Linked DNA regions of Oryzias latipes. The protein of the gene in region 1 purifies or fractionates together with the protein of each later gene. This does not show direct contact. Links are inferred from orthologs where the notes say so. Each region holds a gene or a part of one and is shown on either strand. Other genes may lie near its edges.

Region 1 (11,155 bases):
TTGAGAATGTTGATGGAAAAGTACAGAGAAGGTCAGAAGGAGCTGCATTGTGTGTTCGTAGATTTAGAGAAGGCGTATGACAGGGTGCCGAGGGAGGAGCTGTGGTACTGTATGAGGTCGTCTGGAGTGGCAGAGAAGTATGTCAGAGTAGTTCAGGACATGTATGAGAGAAGTATGACGGTGGTGAGATGTGCTGTAGGTCAGACAGAGGAGTTCAAGGTGGAGGTGGGACTACACCAAGGATCAGCTTTGAGTCCTTTTTTGTTTGCTATGCTGATGGACAGGCTGACAGACGAGGTAAGACAGGAATCTCCCTGGACAATGATGTTTGCGGATGACATCGTAATTTGCAGTGAGAGTAGAGAGCAGGTGGAGGAACAGCTAGAGAGCTGGAGGTTTGCTCTGGAAAGAAGAGGCATGAAGGTCAGTCGTAGTAAGACAGAATACATGTGTCTGAACGAGAGGGATCAAGGTAGAAGCGTTAGGTTACAGGGGGCTGAGGTGAAGAAGGTGCAGGAGTTTAAGTACTTGGGGTCAACAGTTCAGTGTGATGGGGATTGTGGAAAAGAGGTGAAGAGGCGAGTGCAGGCAGGTTGGAGCGGTTGGAGGAAAGTGTCAGGAGTGTTGTGTGACAGAAGAGTGTCAGCAAGACTCAAAGGAAAGGTGTACAAGACAGTGGTGAGACCAGCTCTGCTCTATGGGTTAGAGACGGTAGCAGTGAGACAGAGACAAGAGGCTGAGATGGAGGTAGCGGAGATGAAGATGTTGAGGTTCTCCTTAGGAGTGACCAGGTTAGACAGGATAAGGAACGAGTACATCAGAGGGACGGCTCATGTTGCCTGTGTTAGCGACAAAGTCAGAGAAGCCAGACTGAGATGGTTTGGACATGTTCAGAGGAGGGATAGTGGATATATTGGTAGAAGGATGTTGGAGATGGAGCTGCCTGGCAGGAGGGCAAGAGGACGGCCAAAGAGGAGATACATGGATGTCTTAACAGAGGACATGAAGTTGGCTAACGTTAGGGTAGAAGATGTTCATGATAGAGTGAGGTGGAAAAGGATGATTCGCTGTGGCGACCCCTGATGGGAAAAGCCGAAAGAGAAAGAAGGACAACAAATGACCAATTAGATAACCATAGCAAAAATAAGATGCTAAAAAGTCAACTAAACTCTTTATATCACTTCAAATAACTAAGTCTCTTGAATTTCTGTGTCGCTTCTGAACAACTTCATCGAGCCCGGCGTAAGACTTCTTCAGTATTAAATACTGATCCACACACATATATAGTGCCCTCTAGTGGTTGTTGCTATTTTTTTTAATTGAATCACACATAAGTCGCACCAGAGTATAAGTCGCACCAGCACGCCAAACTATGCTAAACTCTGAAAATACAGTATTTTGTATTTAATCATTTTATGTGAAGGAACTGGGGGGGAAAAAAAGACAAAGTATATTTTATCTGCTTATTTACTATTTATTGGTTTAACATAGAAAAAATAAAAATAACATCCATGTGCAGGGAGTGAGTCTGGTAGCCTACTTGTTTTAAACTCAAGTAACATTAATAAAAATATTTTATCACAGTCCCAAAGTTTAGGCATCATGAAGAACCAGAACCAACGGTTCTGACTACAGTCTCTGTTGCACCTTAGTACTGCTGGATGCTGCAGCACCTTGAGGTGTTATGCCACAGAGACAGCATCATCTGCTTTTAAGCTGCTTTCTGTTCCATCCAGGAAACAGTCCTGAGTAAAGCAAGAAGCCACATCTCGTTGTAGACATTCCCTCCCGTCTGTGAATCACTTCTGGTCAGAAAACGAGCTTCTTCTTCATTACGGCTGAAAATAAAAAAACAAACAACATGTTAAATTAATTAAAGTAAAGCATTTATAGATACAACCACTTGACATCAAGTCCGTTTTCTTTTCTATGCATTCACATGCTAAAAGTCCAGAGTTTTTATCTACAGTGTTCTTTCTGAAAGTCTCTTTGAGACAGGATAGAGCAGACCAGAGAATATGTAGTCATTATCCAAACCACAGGAGGAGCACAAAACAGGCTTTGAACCTCCCAGTTTCACCAAGAAACCAGCCCTCCCCACCACTCACTGAACTGCAGTGTTTGCTCTACCATATTCTGAACTTCTAACTTTAACTCAGCCAACACCCACTAAATGGCTGGGTTTGGTTTAGAGGTATGCTGCCTTTTAAAGGTTACCATGTGGACTGTGAGAAGCCAAACTATTTACTATTCTTTCTGAAGTTTGGGCTTTCACGGGACATTTAGGAACTCTTTTAGACCCAAACGTGCTGCTCACACCAACAGAATAAATAAATATCAAAGATATGTACAGGTGATCTTTGTTTATTACACAAATATCGGTAAATCTGGCTCAGGGTGGTCTTTAGAGGATTAAGGATGAACTTAAGACTATAAATATAAAAAGAAGTCATAAATCGATCTTTACTTGTTTCAAGGCCTTCAATTTTCCTCTTTAGCCCAACAGTTTCCTTTTCCCTCAAAGCCTCAGCCGAGCAGTTTGGTCTGGGGAGCTGTGGACCCGGTGTGGGTCCAGGCCGATTACTGAAGTACTTCATCTTTAGAGCCTGGGCAAAACAAAACAAACAACAATGGATGTACACTATATCTGCAGGTATCACTGCTGTGCCTCTCATACTTGTTTCCATATATATTATGTGTGGTTTTACAAAATAAATCCTCTCATGAAAAATCCAAAAGTGTTTTTCTGTGTCTTCATCTTTTTTGATTCTTAAAAGAAATATAAAAAGAAAACCTAATTTGACATTTACAGAATACGTTTTATTGTGAAGCCATATAATTCAGCGTAAAATAAACCTGCTACCTTTAATGAAGCATGTTCTAAAGATCTTTTATTTCTGGTTTTTAGATTTAAACAAACTTTTTTAAACAACATGATCTTAATAAAACTGGCACAATTTTTTTTTTTAAATGAAGAGGAGCAGCTGCACTGTAACATGGCATTTACCTGTGTGGCTGTGGTCCTGGTTGTGGGGTTGAAGGTAAAGAGGCCCTGTAGTAGCTCAAGTAAATCATCCCCAGCTGCACTAAATATATGTTCCAGCGGTGTGCCAGGAAATATCTTGAAGGACACAAAGTCTGGCAGACTACTCATTCCCTGCAGAGACGGTTGACAAACAGATGTTCGCAAGGAGTTTTACCTCTCTTAGGACAGTCTCATCTGATATATAAAGGAAAAAAAAAACTGAAACCAACAGGCCATGTTTCATCTGTGGCGGTTCCAAGAGCCTCGAAGATTTTGGTCAGCTGATCGAGATCAGAGTCTCCAGCAAGGAATGGTATCTGCAGAGGGGGAGACAATCATTTAATAGATCAGCGCAATGGATGGATATTTATGTGAAGTTTATGTACCCGAAGAAGCAACTCTGCCAGGATGCATCCCACCGCCCACATGTCAACGCCAACCCCATACATCCTGGCACCAAACAGGAGCTCAGGGGAGCGGTACCACCTAAGGAAGCAGTTGGGGAAAACGGAGCAAACAGTCACGTTAAGAGGAACAAAACTCTCAGATGTTTCCTCCCATTGGAGCCAAGTCTAACCGAGCAGCACTCATTTATGGCTTCTTTCCACTAGTTCATAGCTCATGGACAGCTTTCTGTTACCTCACTGGCCCACTTGTGTAACAGCTTGCAAATGAAATATTAATCAATCAAACTTTATTTATGTAGCACTTTTCATGTAAAAGTATAACACAAATCCTCCACTAATGTGTTTAACTCTGAGCAAAAATGTACAGCTGCAGCACCCCATAGATTCAAACACACAACAGCAATGGGTTCACTTAACTTTAGTTAAGTGATCAAAGGAGACAAATAATTTGATCTTTTATTTAGTAATCTAGCATTTATACTTTCATTTAACATGGAAAATCATTTCTGAAAAGAATCTGCAGTATCTGAGCAAACTCAAAGACAGAAAATGTTACGTTTCAGCTGAACTTCGACTGTGAAAGCCAGTCACAATTCAATCCCCAGAATTTAAAATATTAACATTATATTAGTCTACTCATCTGAAATATAATTTCTATCTAAATGGAAGAAAATCTTGTAATTGGTTGTAGTTTCATTTGGTGGAACTTCAGGTATAAGTTAAACTGGATGGGTTTTCTTTAGGTCAATTTGATCTTTCATTTCTTAACAACTCTTTTGAAGTGACTAAAAACCTGTCGGATTAAGATATTAAGATAAGATACAACTATTTTTATAATTTAAAAAAAAGATTATTCATTTTTCATTTAATTTCATTTTATAAATAATAATTTGAGAAAATGATCTCAAAATGACAAAAGTGTCTTAAATAAATCCAGAGGAACATTTGATGAAGTTAATGTGTGATTGACCTAATGCTGGAAGTCAGAAGCTGAGAACCATCTCACATGTGAAAAAACCTCAATAAATACATTTGTAACACAGGAAACTTTTCCCAAAAGCAGCTTTAAAGCCCAAGGCAAGAGTCATTTGGAACCGCCACAGAGGTTAACTCCATATTTTCTTTGAAAGTAAAGCTTTTGAACACATTATTTACTATTAAATAACACATTTTAACATTAAACCTACTTATATTTTATCATTTTTCTGAATGAAAACAATTTATTCTTAAAATCTTTTTTTTTAAACGTAAACATTGAGATATGAACAATATTCAGGCAGCTTTGGTCTTGCTTTTCTAAATTGCTATTAAAGAGCAAAAGAAAAGAACACAGACAAAATTTCTTATGCAAGTATTTTGTCACCTTTTTGTTGTCTATATTTCCGCAGAATACATTTCTCTGCAGACTTCCTTTACAAGTCGGTCGTCACTCTGAAGCGCATTGAGACGACTGTTGTTGTGATTTAGGGCTATATGAATAAAATTGAATCGAATTGAACTCTGCTGTGTAGCTGATGACAGCAACTCTCTCCGCTCAAAAGGTAAAAAGTAAAGCAAAAGCTAAAAATTCTTAACAGGTTCTTAGTTTGCACAGACCTGGTAACAACTTGATGTGTGTAGACTCTGTTAGGGCTCCCAAAAGCTTTGGCCAAACCAAAATCTGCCAACTTCAAGACTCCGCTACCGTCTAACAGCAAATTATTGGGTTTCAGATCCTGCAAACAGAATTAATAAATTACTTAGAATAAACAGAAAAACCAAACATTACAAAAGCATGCATACCATGAACAGTATGAAAGTATGAAAAGTAGTGTATGAAATACAAGTGCACTAACCCTATGTAGAATCCAGTGCTGGTGCATGTATTCTAATCCCTGTAGAGTCATAAGGATGTAGGCTTTGATGTTGGCTGGAGTCAGCACCAGGCTGGTGTCTTTAATGACAACCTGTTATTAAAATAAAAAGGCAGTTAGAAAGAACCTTCCTGTTTGCTCCCAAGTAATCACCATCTATTAACATTTAATAACTTATTTTAGAAGTTATTAAAATTGTTATTAAAAGAAGAAGAAAAAACAATTTTAATAACTGTAAGCCATACTGAAAATGTATTTAGATTTCTTAAAAAGTATAATAAATAAAATGACAAAGGAGACACATGCAAATCAGCTAAGATTTGACTTAAAGATCAACACAGCAGGGCCCGTATGTTTTCCCTTTGTCGAATGTTGAGAAGCAAAGGCTGTTATCTCAATCAACTCATATTACCTGAAGTAATCATGTTAAATATGACTCAAATATTCAAGGTTTTCCTAGGTTGATATAAGATATGTCTCACAGTTTCCACCCTTCCTGCTTCGCTAATGTAAGCAGCTAATGGAAAAAGCTCAATGTGAGTGAAAGGCAGAGGGATATGCCCCCCCCCCCATCTTAGACCCTAACACATCAGAAATGGGTAAAATATGAAGATGAAAAGGAAGACAAATATAAGAATATATCTTTGATTTTGATTTGAAATAGTTTATTTCAAGCAATCAAAGAAAAAATAATGCACAAAACAATACAACCAGCAGTTTTACATTCATAAAAAGATGTATTAAACTTAGGATAATTAGACAGTAAATAAAAGATTGCTTGAAAGGAAGTGGATATAGACACATTCTCACCTCTAGATCTGTTTCCATGAAATCAAACACCAGACTAATGTTTGATTTATGCCCAAATGCATCCAGCAGCTACAAGAAAGGGAAATAAAAAGCACAGTTAGCATTAGACAAAATGTTTATTCACAACTAAGCAATAACATAAGCTGCCATTCAAATGTTTTTAGTAACATGACTAATAGACAGTACAGTTCCTCTAAATTGTAATTGTGTCTGTATGTTAACAGGAGCAAATTCAGTTCAATACCCCGATGATATTTGAATGATGCAGCTCCTGCAGCAATTTGATCTCTCGGAGAGCAGTTCGATTTATACCTATATAGGTAAAAAGAAGCACAAACAGTTGAAAAAACAACACCAGCTTTGTCAGTAACGACGTGCAGAAAGGCTGCACTTACCATCTTTAGCCTCAGTTCTGTGGCCTACTTTAATCTGAAAAGTAAACAAACAAAAGATACTAGTTTGTTGATAAACAACAACCCATAATAGACCATTTAAAAAGTACAATCACCAGGAAGAGCCCGTACCTTTTTAATGGCAACTATTGTGTCAGTCAATTTATCTCTGGCTTTGTACACAGTGGCGAACTAAAGAAGGAACAAAGAACATAATGTTTAGTTTCCCAGTCTTTTTTCTTTGTTTGTTTTGTCATTGTTGCTGATAAAGTGAAAGTATTATTATTTTTTAAATGGTCTAATTGTGTTTAAATAGCAGCATGGCCAGGTTGCTTTGTTGACATTAGGCATTGGCTAATGCTAGTTAGCTTAAGAGCTTTGTCTCGGCAGATATACAATACCAATACGGCTTTAAATAAAAAAAAACAGGTTTTAAATTACCATAACAGTTTCTGTCCTACCTGACCCTCTCCGAGAAAGTCCAGTTTCTCATACCGTTTGGATCTTGTTTTCACATCCACAGACATGTTAGCTAACTGTCAGTTTCGGTAAATGACACTTCCGGTCACGTTGAGGGTCCTCACAAACTGTTTCCGGGTGAATTAGCTTTAAATAAAACAAAAGCGCCACCTGTCGATTGAATTTGTACAACACAAGTCGTTTGTTTTGGAGCGCTCTTGTGTCTTGTTTTGTTTAAACATAAAATGAGATAATTATGTCATAAAGTATGTACCACTAGTGTGTCATAATAGATAATTGAATGCTGAAATAAGGATATTAATTTATGAGGAAAAATTAAAAGCAACTTTCATAACCCAAGTTCAACTTCACCATCCACTTTGACAATGCACTACTACACAAATAAATAAAGAATGAAAAAATGTTTTTACATTAAGTAGTGAAATTAAGTTTACTACAAGTACCCATGGTCTATTCTACAAGTTAGTCAGTATATTATAGTTACATTTTTAAATACAATCTAGGGTATATATTGTAAACTTAAAATGTTCCTGAAAGACACTAAATGTTCCGATTTAGTCTGGAGAAGTGTTTAATTATTTACAATTAGTACACTGTAAGTGCAGGGTATATAGAAGACTTACTATACTCATACTTATACTCAAGTAAACTTAATTAAAAAAACCTTCAAGTCCACTATTATTTGCTAAGAGTTACGAAAATGTCCTTAATTTGGTGGAGTGACAGCACATCAGTGTAACAATCCCAACTCAGTTTTAAGATTTAAAAACTCCAGCTGCTTTTGAAAAGATCTAAAAAGATTTCAGATTTGTTTAAAATAGTTTCTATGTTTGCTTACTTGTAGCCAATCTGTCCATAATATTCAAGTGTGTTTGTCCAAAAACACAATAGGCTCATGAGTAGATTTTAATGGCTCGATGTAGTGTGCACCACGGTTACATTTCTCTCCGTTTTTTTCTTTTTGCCATGCAGTTTCTCTCTTTTTATTTTGTTTTATTTTATTTGAGCAGTTTTAACATTGGTCCCTTGAGTGCCTCTTCTGTCAGTTAGGAAGATTTTGTGATCCATGCTCCACTGAGCACATCTCTACATCCCATCTCCATTCACAGTAAGATACCCTCACATCCCAGAGGATTAGGCACGGCTTCTCTCCTTTGACCCTCCTTGTCTCCGTGCCTGCACACAGCTGCACACACAATACACACTCACAACTGATTTTCATTTTAATGTGAGGTTGACAAGAGAAGTGTGAAGGACCAGCAGGCCTGATACACCCCTCATATGCACATTCCCAGTCTGACAGCACACAGATGTGGCTGACAGTATGTGTCTTTGCAACCAAGCAGAGAGAAATAGTGAGAAGAGAAGCTTTGCTGCTGCGCTCGAGCCTTCAGTGCCTTGGTCGTCAATATTTAGGGAGAAGAGTCAGCTAAGTGCGGGGAAACTCACAAATCAGTGGTAACACGGATTTAGATGACCAGCACTAAAGGAAATGCTGATCTCCTTTCATTGTGATGGGTTTTGGGCCCTTTTCGATGTCATTTACTTCTGGGCCCTGTGGTTTGTTCCAGTAAATCTCATGATGGGCAGCGCAGCTCACAAATTGGCTGTGTGTCACACAGGCAGATGGAGAGGCTGCTGAGCTAATGTGTGTGTACGCCCCTGTTTGCAGGCAGGAGGAGAGTGAAACCACAAAGCTGTTTATCAAGCTCATAGGAAGTGGGTGTTGTTGAGCGAGGACGTGTCGCACCACCACATCCTGCTGCTGGGAAGCAGCTTCAGATGGGACAGTGTTCACACAATGTACAGTAAACAACTAATGCAGGCCAGGTGTCTTTTTTGTTGTGTGCACATTAGTGTATTCGTGGTGTGCAGCTGCCCCATGCTGTGATTGCAGAGTCGTGATCATTTGTGGGTGAGGCTGTTTGGGTGGCCGCTGCGCAAAGTTTTTTTTAAGTCACTATGAACTGTCCTCTTGGTCGCCCCCACACATGCTCAGGAAAGTCACCACCAGTGCCCACAAACCATGAATGTCTCGTCAAGATGCGTACTGCAAGCTCTACAAAACTTATTGCAGCCTTGAGTGAGTTTCTTTGGGGGGAAAAGGGACCAAAATGCATATGCAAGTCAATGCAGAGTTTCTACAGATAGGCTATTCTTTTGTGAGGCATTGTTGATTATGCACACAATTAGGAAAAAAAACAACCAAAACATGAAGTTTGAGGCTATTTCTGCATCCGTAAGCTGTGAATGATTCAGCGCTACCTCCGTTTCATACACCTGCAGAGTCTTTGTCTTTGTTGTACTCTGAGAGTCTCAGGGGAAGTGGCAACGTTCCGTCATCTGGGGAGTTTTCCCCCTTTGTTTCTCACTGACTTTTTCACACCAACACACACTCTTACACGCGTACACACACAAAAAAACACGTTTGACCTGCAAGCGCTGTTATACTAACACAACAGGATGTTGTAGGGTGTATGTTTGAGGTGTGAAGGTTCATGCATACTTACAATTATTGTCTGATTCTCAGAGCTGATTATCACTAAATGCAGGTCCCAAAAGATGCTGCGACACTTTTAATCTGCTAAATACTGAATAGCACACAGGTCAGGGATTTAAACCCTCACTAAACTTCAAGTTTACCAGAACTTTTTTGTAAATGCAAGCTTTTCTGGCATGCACCATCCAGTGTGCCCAATTCAGTTCTTGCCAGTTGAAAAGTGTGACTGTGAAGCAGACAGAAGAAGGAAACATTATCTTCCTTGCTGCTGCATGTTTACACACAGACTCATCAAAATTGATGCTGTCAGTCCTGCATTAGATCTCAGTCTGAATAAAAAAGGAGGGCAGCATTTTTTTCTTCTTCTTCTTCGTCTTGTTTTTTCCGAAATTTCCTCCGGCACTTGAAGTAATACACTTGGGTTTGTGGGCTACATCAAGATGAGTTCACTTGATAGTTGAGCTCATAGACATTATGAAAATGTCCTTATAAGCAGCGGGGGGATGGGTGCAATGTCATCTCCTCACGCAGACAGAGCCAGCAGGGAATCTACAAACAAAAGCATTTAGGTCAGCTTTGTTGCTGTCGTTGCTTCAGTCTGAATAGGTTTCTTTTTATTCCTGCATCTTCTCTTAGACATCATTATCCCTTTCATTAGAACAGTCCCTATTGCATCCCCACATGGAGTCTTGAATTATATATCTTTATTTTGTGCCTCAAAACTTGCACCGCCAACACAGACTGCAAGTTTATTTGCCACAGAAAATGGTTGGAACTGCAATGAAGGAGACGCAAAAGGGATAGGCAGAAAGTGCACGGATTGAAAACCTTGTTGCCATGAGAACAAAAATATGTCTTGAGCAACTAAGGGCAGCAGGGAGTTCAAGACAGTCATCTCTGGAAGGTAAATGAAGGCGAGTCCGTTCTGATTTGTCTGCTTGTATCAGGAGCGGGAGATTTCTCCTGCAGCGGGTTATCCACAAAGACATTGACTTCATTAACCCCGCTAGGTTGCCAAAGCCCCAGTAATCAACCTCTTCATACGTCCCATTAACTTCTTATTGTATCTGAATGGCCTTTACTTTCTGCACCCATGCACACTCACATGTCATTTCACAGTGGGCGTTTGTATCTAAGTCACAGAAGTCTGTCTGGGTTTCCTGGCCTCCCCCTTGCACGAAGACAAACTCTGCCTCAGCCAACCCCCTCACCTCCATCGGTCTCAAAGGTCCCTTGGCTGCGATGACCCCACAGCTGCCCTGTGACATTAGTGGACTCTCCGAGAAAAACCCCTCATTGATTGCACATGAGCATCTCTCTCTTACAATGTCAGCTCAAGGTTGGCACATTGACTCTCTTCCCTCAGTGCAGTCAAGTGCTGCAGCTTTGTTAATAATATCAGTGAGGAGTCTCTTTTTTTTCATCTGTGCTGACTCCACTGCTCAGATTATTCATAGAGGCAGCAAGGCTATTATTCACACTCACCTTCTGAGTCATTTGTGGTTTCTTTCTCAGTTTGAATGTTTAACACCTTCATCTCCACTCCAAACTCTTTCCACAATAACCTTCAAGTATCGGTAGGTTTCATGTCACTTTTAAGGAGGGAAGCGTGTCTTTGGCATCCCATTCATAAGGGGAAAAAAGTTCCTTTGCACCATAAAAGAAAGAGAAATGAATGAACTGGGCCA
Region 2 (9,828 bases), on another chromosome or scaffold:
AAGGACACGGATGCCGCCAAGCTGAGGGAGGAGTACCGGCGGCTGGTGGAAGGGCTGAAGGAGGCCAACGTTGCCAGGGAGACGGACGTCTACCTGGCAAATCCGGTTTTACCTGATGAAATCCTGCAAGGTTGGAGCTCGGTCTGGCCGTGGGGTTCTGGTTTCAGAACTCAGACTAACGCTTCTCCCCGCCAGAGGCCGTCCCCGGCTCCATTCGCACCGCCGAGCACTTCCTGGGCTTCCTGCGGCGATTCCTGGAGTACCTGAAGTCCCGCCTGCGGGTCCATCATGTGGTTCAGGAGAGCGCTCCCCAGTTCCTTAAAGACATCTTCGAGAAGGTCTGCATCGACCGCAAACCTCTCAGGTCAGTCGGCTTCAGGTCACACGGGGGAGGGGCCGCAGTTTTCTCAGGAAACACGGATTTTCTGTTTCACCATTTAGAGCGTCGGTATCATTCAAAACCAACTTTTAGGTGTATTTTAATGTTCATTCCTCACAATAAACAGTATGTTGGTCCGTTTACGCATTTCTGAGCATTCCTCTAAAAACCTGCAGCTCCTCCCAACCAACGAAAACGGGCGGGTCTTCGCATTGTGACATCACAAAGTGAGGACCAGCCCCTTCCAGGAAGAGTCTGCAGTGCCAGCCCCGCCCCCAGGCTAACACACACGCCCACTTTCTCCGTGGAGCTAGCGGTGATCGTCTAAACGCTTTCCTTTTTTATGAACATATGCACGTCCATCTTTGCAAAAGTTCTGCCGAGGCGTCTCGGATGACATCATCACATAGGCGGCGCCCACAAAGAGCCGACCTTTTTGTATAAAGTGTTGCATGTCAGCACAAGACTTCTGTTCACCGCACCAGAATCCGCTGGAATTACGATCATTGCGTAAACGGTTGAAGAGTTAAGGTAGTCAAAGAAATGTAAAGATTGGAGCTAACGCTCAGCTGTGAAAAGGTTTAAAAAAAACCTGCATGCGTTTCTGCTGCTGCTGTTTGTGAGAATCGATTTGTGGAAACGTTCTGGAGCTCAATCTGTCTGTCCTGTCCATCTAATATCGGCCGTGTCTCACAGCCGCTGTGGACGTTTTCGTGGTTCATACGTGATGGGAGTTTCTCGTGTTCCTCATTTGTCGACGCGCGCAGACGTCAGTCAAGGATTTCAGCCGATGGATTTTTACCAGAGTTTGGTTTTGAGCTGGATGAGAATTACACAGTTTCTACGTATCTTAAATTATTACATAAATCTTACACAACTGTGCGTGATTTTTGCGAGATTCACAGATTTGTTGCTTTCCGCGACCGTTCCACGTATGTCTAACGGACTTTTCAGTATATATATATATATATATCAGGTATACGGCGCACAAATCTCATTAAAATAGCGTAATTGACCCACAATTCACTAACGAATTGCATCTAAACAGCTCAATAATCACACGGTTCATGCTCTACGTTGATTAGCGTGGTTCATTCCTGATACATCTGTGCAAATGTCACCTAAAGACTCAAACTTCTCTCACTTTTTCCACACATATGACCAATTTTCATCTGTGCAATATGCACAAAATGTATGTAGTTGCTGTGTGACAGACTTTTTAATCCTGTCTATACAGAAATCCAAAGCAGCAGAAGAACCGACTCGTCTCATCCTGTGATGATGTTTTTCTCGCCCTCAGAATCTTGAAGTTATTCTTTCGTGTTTATTTTCCACAAACGGACATCAGACCGTTCTGTGAAAACCTCTAGGGAGCTCCGTTTCTCCTCCTTCACCACTCACCTTTATTTATTTCTTTCCTTCGCCTGCTCAGGTTTTGCGCAGAAAGGCTTCAGTCGCTGCTGCGAACTCTGGAGATCGCAGACATCGCAGACTTCTCCGCCGTCACCCTCATCTCCAACTTTGCGACTCTCGTCAGCACCTACAGCTTAGGTTCTGCTCGCCTCAGATCCCCGCAGGAAGCCGGAGGTCCGGATGGGCTTTTCACCGCAGACTGTGCTCTGTCTTCCTCTCCCTGAAGGTTTCACCATCATCATCGAGCCGTTCGACGACAGAACTCCCACCATCGCCAACCCCGTCCTCCACTTCAGGTAGAAATGCTTCGTTTTTCTGCACGTTTCCCTCTGGACTCCCGGCTGTTTACGTTTTTATAGAATATAGATGCTATATAGAATATAATTTATAAAAGATGTATAATAGATGAGAAACTCCAGCAGAAAGTGTCAACTCTGAGCCTTTTTAACCTTCAACAAGTTGCAGGTAAAAATAAGTTTTCAGCACAAAAACCCAAAGAAAAAAAGTCAAATTTCAAATTTTTGATTAAAAGATCCACAAACCAGTTTCAGCATCAAGGATAAAGAAGCTTTTACATGGAATCATGAGGTTTTCATCATTTTTGGGACAAACATGATGAAAACCTCAGAAATCTGAATAAATGTTGGTCCCAGTTCAACATTGCAAACTCATGACAGGAAGTGTGAAGTGCTCAAAGCCGCTGCTCCGGTTCTGATCCGGTTCTCTGCCCTCACAGCTGCATGGACCCGTCTATCGCCATCAAACCCGTTTTCCAGAGGTTTCAGTCCGTGGTCATCACGTCCGGGGTACGTCCGTCCGTCTGCACATCAGGAAACGACTAAATGGAATATTTCAATAAACTTCATGATCTTTCCATTTTCATATTTTCTGTTCAGTTGATTAGATCAGAAAAAAGTCAAATGTTTGAGATATACTAATTTAATCAACCTGAGACTTTCTGCTTGTTTATGTTCCTGATTTTACTGTTTATTTATTTATTTTTCATCATAAATTCTTAATTTCACTATAATTGTCGTTTTTTTCCCCCCATGTTTGGGGTTTTCATGGAGTTTTCCTCCTCCCCTCAGACCCTCTCCCCTCTGGACATCTATCCTAAAATCCTGGACTTCCGTCCCGTTACCATGGCGTCCTTCACCATGACGCTGGCGCGGACCTGCCTGTGTCCGCTGGTGCGTATGTGCTGTTGTGGCGCTGGCGGTCGCTCCTCCTCCTCCTCCTCCTCCTCCTCTTCCTCACTCACCTCTGTCGTCTGGCTCAGATCGTGGGCAGAGGGAACGACCAGGTGGCGCTCAGCTCCAAGTTTGAGACCAGGGAGGACTTCGGTGGGTCCAGAACTTCATGGTTTTTCCCGCAGAAGATGGAGGGAACATTCAGGAGTTTGTTTTTTGCTTCATAGCTGTGATTCGTAACTATGGCAACCTGCTCCTGGAGATGTCGGCGATCGTCCCCGACGGGATCGTGGCGTTCTTCACCAGCTACGTCTACATGGAGAACATCGTGGCGTCGTGGTACGAGCAGGTAAGGGAACCGTGGTCTGAGCGGCGCCTCGGCGGAGAACCTTTTCCTCCACGCCTTTGGTGGCTTCGCAGGGAATCCTGGAGAACATCCAGAGGAACAAGCTGATCTTCATCGAGACTCAGGATGCAGCGGAGACCAGCATGGCTCTGGAGAAATACCAGGAGGTGAGCTTCTCCTGCCGAACGCAGCTCCCACGTTTCCGCTTGAACTTCCCGAGTTCCTCTGCAGGCCTGCGAGAACGGCAGAGGCGCCATCCTGCTGTCGGTGGCGAGGGGGAAGGTCTCCGAGGGAATCGATTTCGGTAAATCCTCCACAGAGGTTCCGGTTTTTAGGCTTTCATGGTGAATCCGTGTTTTTTATTTTTTTCCAGTGCATCACTTTGGCCGCGCCGTCATCATGTTCGGAGTTCCTTATGTTTACACGCAGAGCCGCATCCTGAAGGTCAGAACGCAGAATCCGGTCGGAACCACCCTTTTTCACAGTTTGGAGAAAGACGCCGATAAAATAAATAAATAAAAAATGTGCCGTTTCTAGGATTTATGCCAAAACTCAAAAAGTGAACCTGAAGCAAAGTTTGTGAATTCTTTCAGTTCCCAAAAATTAAACATCAAAAAGGTCATAAACCTTCAACCGGGTTTCAAATTATTGTTAAGTCACTTTGATGACAGAAAAGAAAACGTTCAAAAGAAAACAACAAAAGAACAGAAAATGTTTAAAAAAGGATTAAAATATTACTGCAATAAAAGTAAAAAAACAACCTCCTGGAATTAAAATGGAACTTTTTATAAAATCAAAAACCAAAAAAAAAAAATATATATATATATATATATATATATATATATATATATATATATATATATATATATAAACAGCTCCTAAAACTAAACGACCCCCAGTGAGAATGTTTGTCTGCATTTATTTAGGTTGAAAACAAATAACTAAAATAAATCTCTCAGATCAAGTTGATGCATCTTTCCCCCCAAAAATGAATAATAACTAGCAATTCTGTTGAAATATTTTCATCATTAAATGGAAAAAAAAAAGAATCAAGAAACAAAAAAAAAATCCCTTTAGACAAAATCCTTCAAAATAAAATCATCTTTTTTTTTAAACAGAAAAATCTCCTTCAGAAAAAAATTCCAACATTTTTCGTTCAACTTAAAATGTGACATTCCTGCGTTTTTTGGCTCCAGGCGCGACTGGAGTACCTCAGGGACCAGTTCCAGATCAGAGAGAACGACTTCCTGACGTTTGACGCCATGCGCCACGCCGCTCAGTGTGTTGGCCGGGCCATCCGCGGGAAGACCGACTACGGCCTCATGATCTTCGCCGACAAGGTGAGTGACGGTCGTCGGCGAGGCGCGAGGCGTTTGCAGTCCTGCCTAAAAGCTCTGCGGCCCGCAGCGATACGCCCGAGCCGATAAGCGAGGGAAGCTGCCCCGCTGGATCCAGGAGCACATCAGCGACGGCAGTCTGAACCTCACGGTGGACGAGACCGTCCAGCTGTCCAAGCATTTCCTGCGGCAGATGGCCCAGCCCTTCCGCCAGGTAAAGCCGCCGGACCGCCGGCGTGTTTCTCTGCGGGTTACGTCACCGCGTCTGCTGTCCCTCTGCAGGAGGACCAGCTGGGTCTGTCTCTGCTGACGCTGGAGCAGCTGCAGTCGGAGGACATGCTGAAGAAAATTGCCCAGATTGCTCACCAGGCGTGAAGGTGGTCGCCATAGCAACGCCCTGATGGACCAGGCTGCTTAAAAAAAAAAACCCTCTTTAAACCATTCTGTCTGTCATACAGACTGTAAATAAAACATTTTTGATATGTTTGTTGAAGAAATAAACTTTGTATTCTTCATAAAACGATTTGACAGGGTTTCTAGGGCTGTTGACCCCATTCAGTGGCCGTGTGGAAGAGTGTCTGCCCTGAAACTGGAATGTTGTGGGTTCAAATCCACAAGTCATCCCAAAGAATCAAAACTGCCCTGCCTGACACTTAGCATTAACCCTTGTGCTATCCTAGGCACTTTAATGTTGGGAGTTGGGTCATCTAGACCCACTAGCCCTTGTAATATCTTAGATGACCCTCCCCCCCTTACATTGACATGTTCTCCCTACCATGACAAAGGTGGATGAAGATGGAAAGATTTCATGTAATCCATGGACACCAGTGAAGATCACAAATCATTGAAGAAAAAAGGTTCAGAGGACTGTCTAGTGGGTCTAGATCAGTGTTTTTCAACCTTTTCTGAGCCACGGCACACTTTAACCTTAAAAAAAATCCAGCGGCACACCAGCATCCAAAAATGAAAAAAAAAAAGGAGAAACTCATAGTCTGTATTGATCTACAGCCCCTCCCTCCACAATCTCACATGCATTTCAAAGAGATAATTGTTGCAGAAAAAGCTGGAAACTGCAGCTGTTTTTCTAAAAGGTGCAATAAAAGTTAAGTTAGAAGATTTAAAAAAAGTTTGAAGTGTGTTCGTTGGTTACAAGACGTTTAACAACAGATCTCCTTGTGCGTTGTCACTCTCACAACCCAATGCATCATGGGAGATGTAGTGCATTAAACGGCCGGCGGAGATCGCGTCTCTGAGCTTCATGGTTTTGTTCACTTGTTCCACGGTCTGACACCGGATTCTGTGGAAAGCTACACCGCTAAAAACGAGCTTTAGCTGCTATTTTTGGTGGAACTGAGCGACATTATCAGCAGAATCGGAACAAGGAAGTGAATACTTTAACCACTTCTGATTGGTCAGACTGATGACATGTGATTAAGCCTTCAAGAATGATTGGTGGAGACGGGACTTTTCCAAAATACAGCCGGAGCTGCAGCTGAATTGCGGTGCCGTCATTCTTATCAAAATGTCTTTAATAGAATCAAATAAAAACAAAGAAAAAGTATTTTACGATCTTTTATATTCCTAACTCCTCAGTGTTTTATCAGGGCCTGTTTGGATGAACAGAGAGCTGAAATCCTGGAAATGGGAAATGTTTTTAGATCAGTTAATGAGGGCAATTTCCCACGGCACACCTGACCATCTCTCACGGCAAACTAGTGTGCCGCGGCACACTGGTTGAAAAACGCTGGTCTAGATGACCCAACTCCCAATGGTAAAGTGCCTAGGATAGCACAAGGGTTACTGTGCATACCTTTTTGTAGTTGTTTGGCTCTAGTCTAAAGTCTTAAACAGATAAAATACATTTTCAGCAACTATTTAGAGCTAAAACGAAAAGACAATTTCACAAAAGGATTAAAAGTAAAGAGTCCAGTTTGTTCACATTTTCTTTGTATTATTGCGTAACAGTAAAGGTTTCACTTGTCTATGATATGGGGGTCCACCGTTTTACTGACGGTCAAACATTCATCTTCTTTAAACTCATCAAAAACACAAAATACAAACAAAATACAAACACATTTTAATGCTAATCCTTCAGTTTAGCTCATATTTGTGGGAAAAAAAGCTACTTTCACACAGAAACGACTCATTTAAAAACATTTCTTGCCCCCAGATTATGTCAGAAATATAAAAATACTTAAATACAAGGAAAGTTCTACAGAACATTTGATGTTTGCATGTTTGGAATGTGCAGAAACATTCTAGTCCACAGTCACATCTGCTGCAGCTCCATCATCTTAGTTCCAACTCATCAATGTTCAGGAAAGTCCAAGCAAGAGAAAAACGATCCACGTCTGACAACATTAGGACGTGATCTTCATCCTTAAAGGCCTGATGCTGAACCGAGCTGAAATGGTTTTACATTCTGTCAGGTTAGAAAAGGTAAATCCACCATTTGTTTGTCTCCAAGTTTTGTGTTTAACAAATAGACTAAATGTCTATTTACAAGAATAACAAGTAGAAAACGTGCAAAGTTATTTCTCTAATATTAAAAGAAATGTTGCCTAAACCAGTGGCCCCCAAGTCGCAGACCGGTACCCACCTGCCAAGACAAAAGTACTTAGATTACATTTGTTTTTTCATATTATTTTGAAGGAAGTTGTATTTTGTTAAACTGTCGGTTTCTCTTCCGTCTATGACTCATTCTTGACGCTTTTGAAGTCGCTGTCATGTGTTATGAATCCATCTACCGTACTAATTTTATAAAGTAGCTAAGCAAAGTTAGTTAAAATAAAAAAGTTTCTTCTCACAGAAAAGACTTAAAGAGGAAACAGAAGAGTCTTTAACTTAAAAAAAAAGAAAAAACATACGTATTTAACAGACAAAAACTAAAATATTGGATTTACTCTGCATAATTTGCATAATATTACAAAGTTACTGCTAAAAAAGTTGTTTTTCCGTCTATCATTGGTTTTCTCATTTTATTAAGGAGGCATTAGTCTGCCACACTTTAAAATTCAGACAATACAAGTTGGTGTAAGATTTTTTTATTTTATTTTTTATTTTAGTTTCCGCTTTAACGCTTTAAGCTTTCCCATCTATAAAACGCCAACAGACATTTTCAAAATGTCTATTTTATATTAGATTTCATGTAGGATGGTTTTCATGTGAAAATTCCGCTCAGCTTCTAACTTAATTAGAAGCCAAATAAAACGAAGTCCAACTTCAGCCTAGTGCAGCCCAGTCCTTGAAAATATTGTCTGACATCAAAGCGCTCCGTGGCGCCTTAAAAGGTTGGGAACCACTGGCCTAAAAGACAGCAGCAAGTTAAGTCAAAATGTAAGATTAGCAATTTCCAAAAATGTCAGTTGTTATGCAGATGACATTGTGTTGTTTAAAAGACTCGTTTGCCTAATTTTCACATCGAATGCATTGATTTACTGAGTGTTTCAAGTGATCAGGACGAAATATGACTGCATGATTGATATATTTCAGTATTTGTTGCCACACCTTTTCACATTTGTGCCTAAAGTAAATACATTATTTTAGTGATCCTCTAACATCTCAACCTAACATAGTAAGATAATAAGTCAAACTACTCCAGCTCTTAACTTTACATTGACAAAAGATGCTGGTGAAAGTTGGAAAAATGTCCTGAAAAAGGCAAAAAGCAAACATGATTGAAGTTTTTTTACGTGTTTGTCTTCTGGAAGTTTAAATAAATAAATATATTTCTATTTTTTCTGTTTCTTTGATGTAGTTTAGAAATTAAAACGCAAATTCATGGATGTTTTTTCTTTACCTTTCGTGTTGACCTACATACAAACAGAAAGGAATAAATGAGCTGAATCTGGAGAAGAACATGGATCTGGTTCAGTCTCTGATTTAAAACTCCAGAAACCTGAAGGAAGTGTTTTCAGTGTTAGCTGATCCCACCCAACGAGCTCCTTCTGGTCAGACTCTGTGTGCTGGAGCTTTGGACTCGACTGTCTGCCAGATGCTTCGACTGAGGGGAAAAACAAAAACAAACGTTTAAATAAATATGTGTAAATGTGAACTGAAGGTTCCTGAAAATTCGATTGCGTTTAAAAAAAAAATGCAATAACCTGCGTGCTGTTCTGACCGTCTCTGGTCCCAACGTTCAGCACATTGAGGGAGTTTGCCCTCTTCATCCTAGAAAAGCCCCACAAGTCAAAGATACTTTACAGAGTTGCTGGTATATGAGACAAAACATTGCCTAACAGAGTATTTACCCAGCATGCCTTGGGGTGCTTTCCTCTATTCCTACCCCTTTGAGCTTGCGGACCAGTTTCTCGCTGCTTCTGCGTATCGACTCCCGGAGTTTGGTAAAGGAGCCGCTGCGCCTCAGTCCCTCCGGCACAGAACCGCCATCCTCGGCTCCTGACCAGCTGGGATGACCGTCACCTGGAGGAAAAGGAGCTGCGTTCATGCAGGAACAAGAGAGACCGCATATAGGTACCATGTTACCCTACCTTCCACTGATCCAAATTCCTTCTCGTGAGCTCTGGTCAGAATCTCTTTGTAGAGAGCTTCAGCTTGTCTGTATTTCCCCTGTTTCAGATAGCATGATGCCTGAATGGGAGACCAATAACATTTGTTTTAACGATGCAAAGTGTTCACATCGGTAACCTGCCTTACCTCGTGCTTTAGACTGTTAGTAACGTTAACTAGCTGTGCGGCAAACAAATCAACGGCATCTAGGTCTTGACCAGGTTAATTCTCTGGAAATGTCCAGTGGAATTAGAATAAAAACACACTAAACTCTGGACACACTTGTTTGATCATCACATGACCTCCTCAAGCATAGTTTTTAACTGTTTCCTGTTATATTTGTTTATTTCACTATTTTATGAATTTTGACTGTCTGATATATATTGTTGTTTAATAGTTTGAAGAAGGTTGTTTTTTTAAACTATTTGTTTTGAGTTTTTCCTTTTTTTCTATGTTAAGCCTAGAAATGAACAAACCGGGGGCTTGTCCGGGATCATGAATTTGTGTCAAAGCTTTACGCCCCTCTTTTTTTGGGTGCCTAACAACTTTCCATATAACTAAACAGAAACAGGAGTGCTTAGTTACTCCTTGTTGGACTGCATTAAATGATTCAATCACTGCAGTGAAGGATGTGGCTGGACTCACGCTGATCTG

The links.
Region 2: the proteins of cdk7 (region 1) and ercc2 purify together in Homo sapiens (affinity purification with mass spectrometry; 10 studies listed by BioGRID and IntAct, counting the BioPlex papers as one, with this or other methods). This does not show direct contact. The link is inferred for Oryzias latipes from reciprocal best matches to the Homo sapiens genes CDK7 and ERCC2.

What each region holds. Positions count from the first base shown.
Region 1 is NC_019867.2:13,784,441-13,795,595, reverse strand, and holds cdk7 (cyclin-dependent kinase 7), read right to left. Parts: upstream 7,072-11,155; 5' UTR 7,015-7,071; coding exon 6,949-7,014; intron 6,680-6,948; coding exon 6,620-6,679; intron 6,525-6,619; coding exon 6,491-6,524; intron 6,408-6,490; coding exon 6,340-6,407; intron 6,165-6,339; coding exon 6,096-6,164; intron 5,379-6,095; coding exon 5,268-5,378; intron 5,148-5,267; coding exon 5,029-5,147; intron 3,512-5,028; coding exon 3,412-3,511; intron 3,343-3,411; coding exon 3,256-3,342; intron 3,158-3,255; coding exon 3,008-3,157; intron 2,607-3,007; coding exon 2,468-2,606; intron 1,839-2,467; coding exon 1,810-1,838; 3' UTR 1,454-1,809; downstream 1-1,453. UniProt on the Homo sapiens protein: Serine/threonine kinase involved in cell cycle control and in RNA polymerase II-mediated RNA transcription. Cyclin-dependent kinases (CDKs) are activated by the binding to a cyclin and mediate the progression through the cell cycle.
Region 2 is NC_019871.2:4,138,770-4,148,597, forward strand, and holds the end of ercc2 (general transcription and DNA repair factor IIH helicase subunit XPD), read left to right. Parts: coding exon 1-130; intron 131-195; coding exon 196-364; intron 365-1,811; coding exon 1,812-1,930; intron 1,931-2,018; coding exon 2,019-2,088; intron 2,089-2,528; coding exon 2,529-2,598; intron 2,599-2,880; coding exon 2,881-2,982; intron 2,983-3,071; coding exon 3,072-3,135; intron 3,136-3,209; coding exon 3,210-3,331; intron 3,332-3,402; coding exon 3,403-3,495; intron 3,496-3,559; coding exon 3,560-3,632; intron 3,633-3,701; coding exon 3,702-3,772; intron 3,773-4,524; coding exon 4,525-4,668; intron 4,669-4,735; coding exon 4,736-4,879; intron 4,880-4,947; coding exon 4,948-5,040; 3' UTR 5,041-5,185; downstream 5,186-9,828. Other genes in the region: kinesin light chain 1, read right to left, coding at 8,585-8,668, 8,769-8,835, 8,916-9,087, 9,156-9,255. UniProt on the Homo sapiens protein: ATP-dependent 5'-3' DNA helicase. Component of the general transcription and DNA repair factor IIH (TFIIH) core complex, not absolutely essential for minimal transcription in vitro.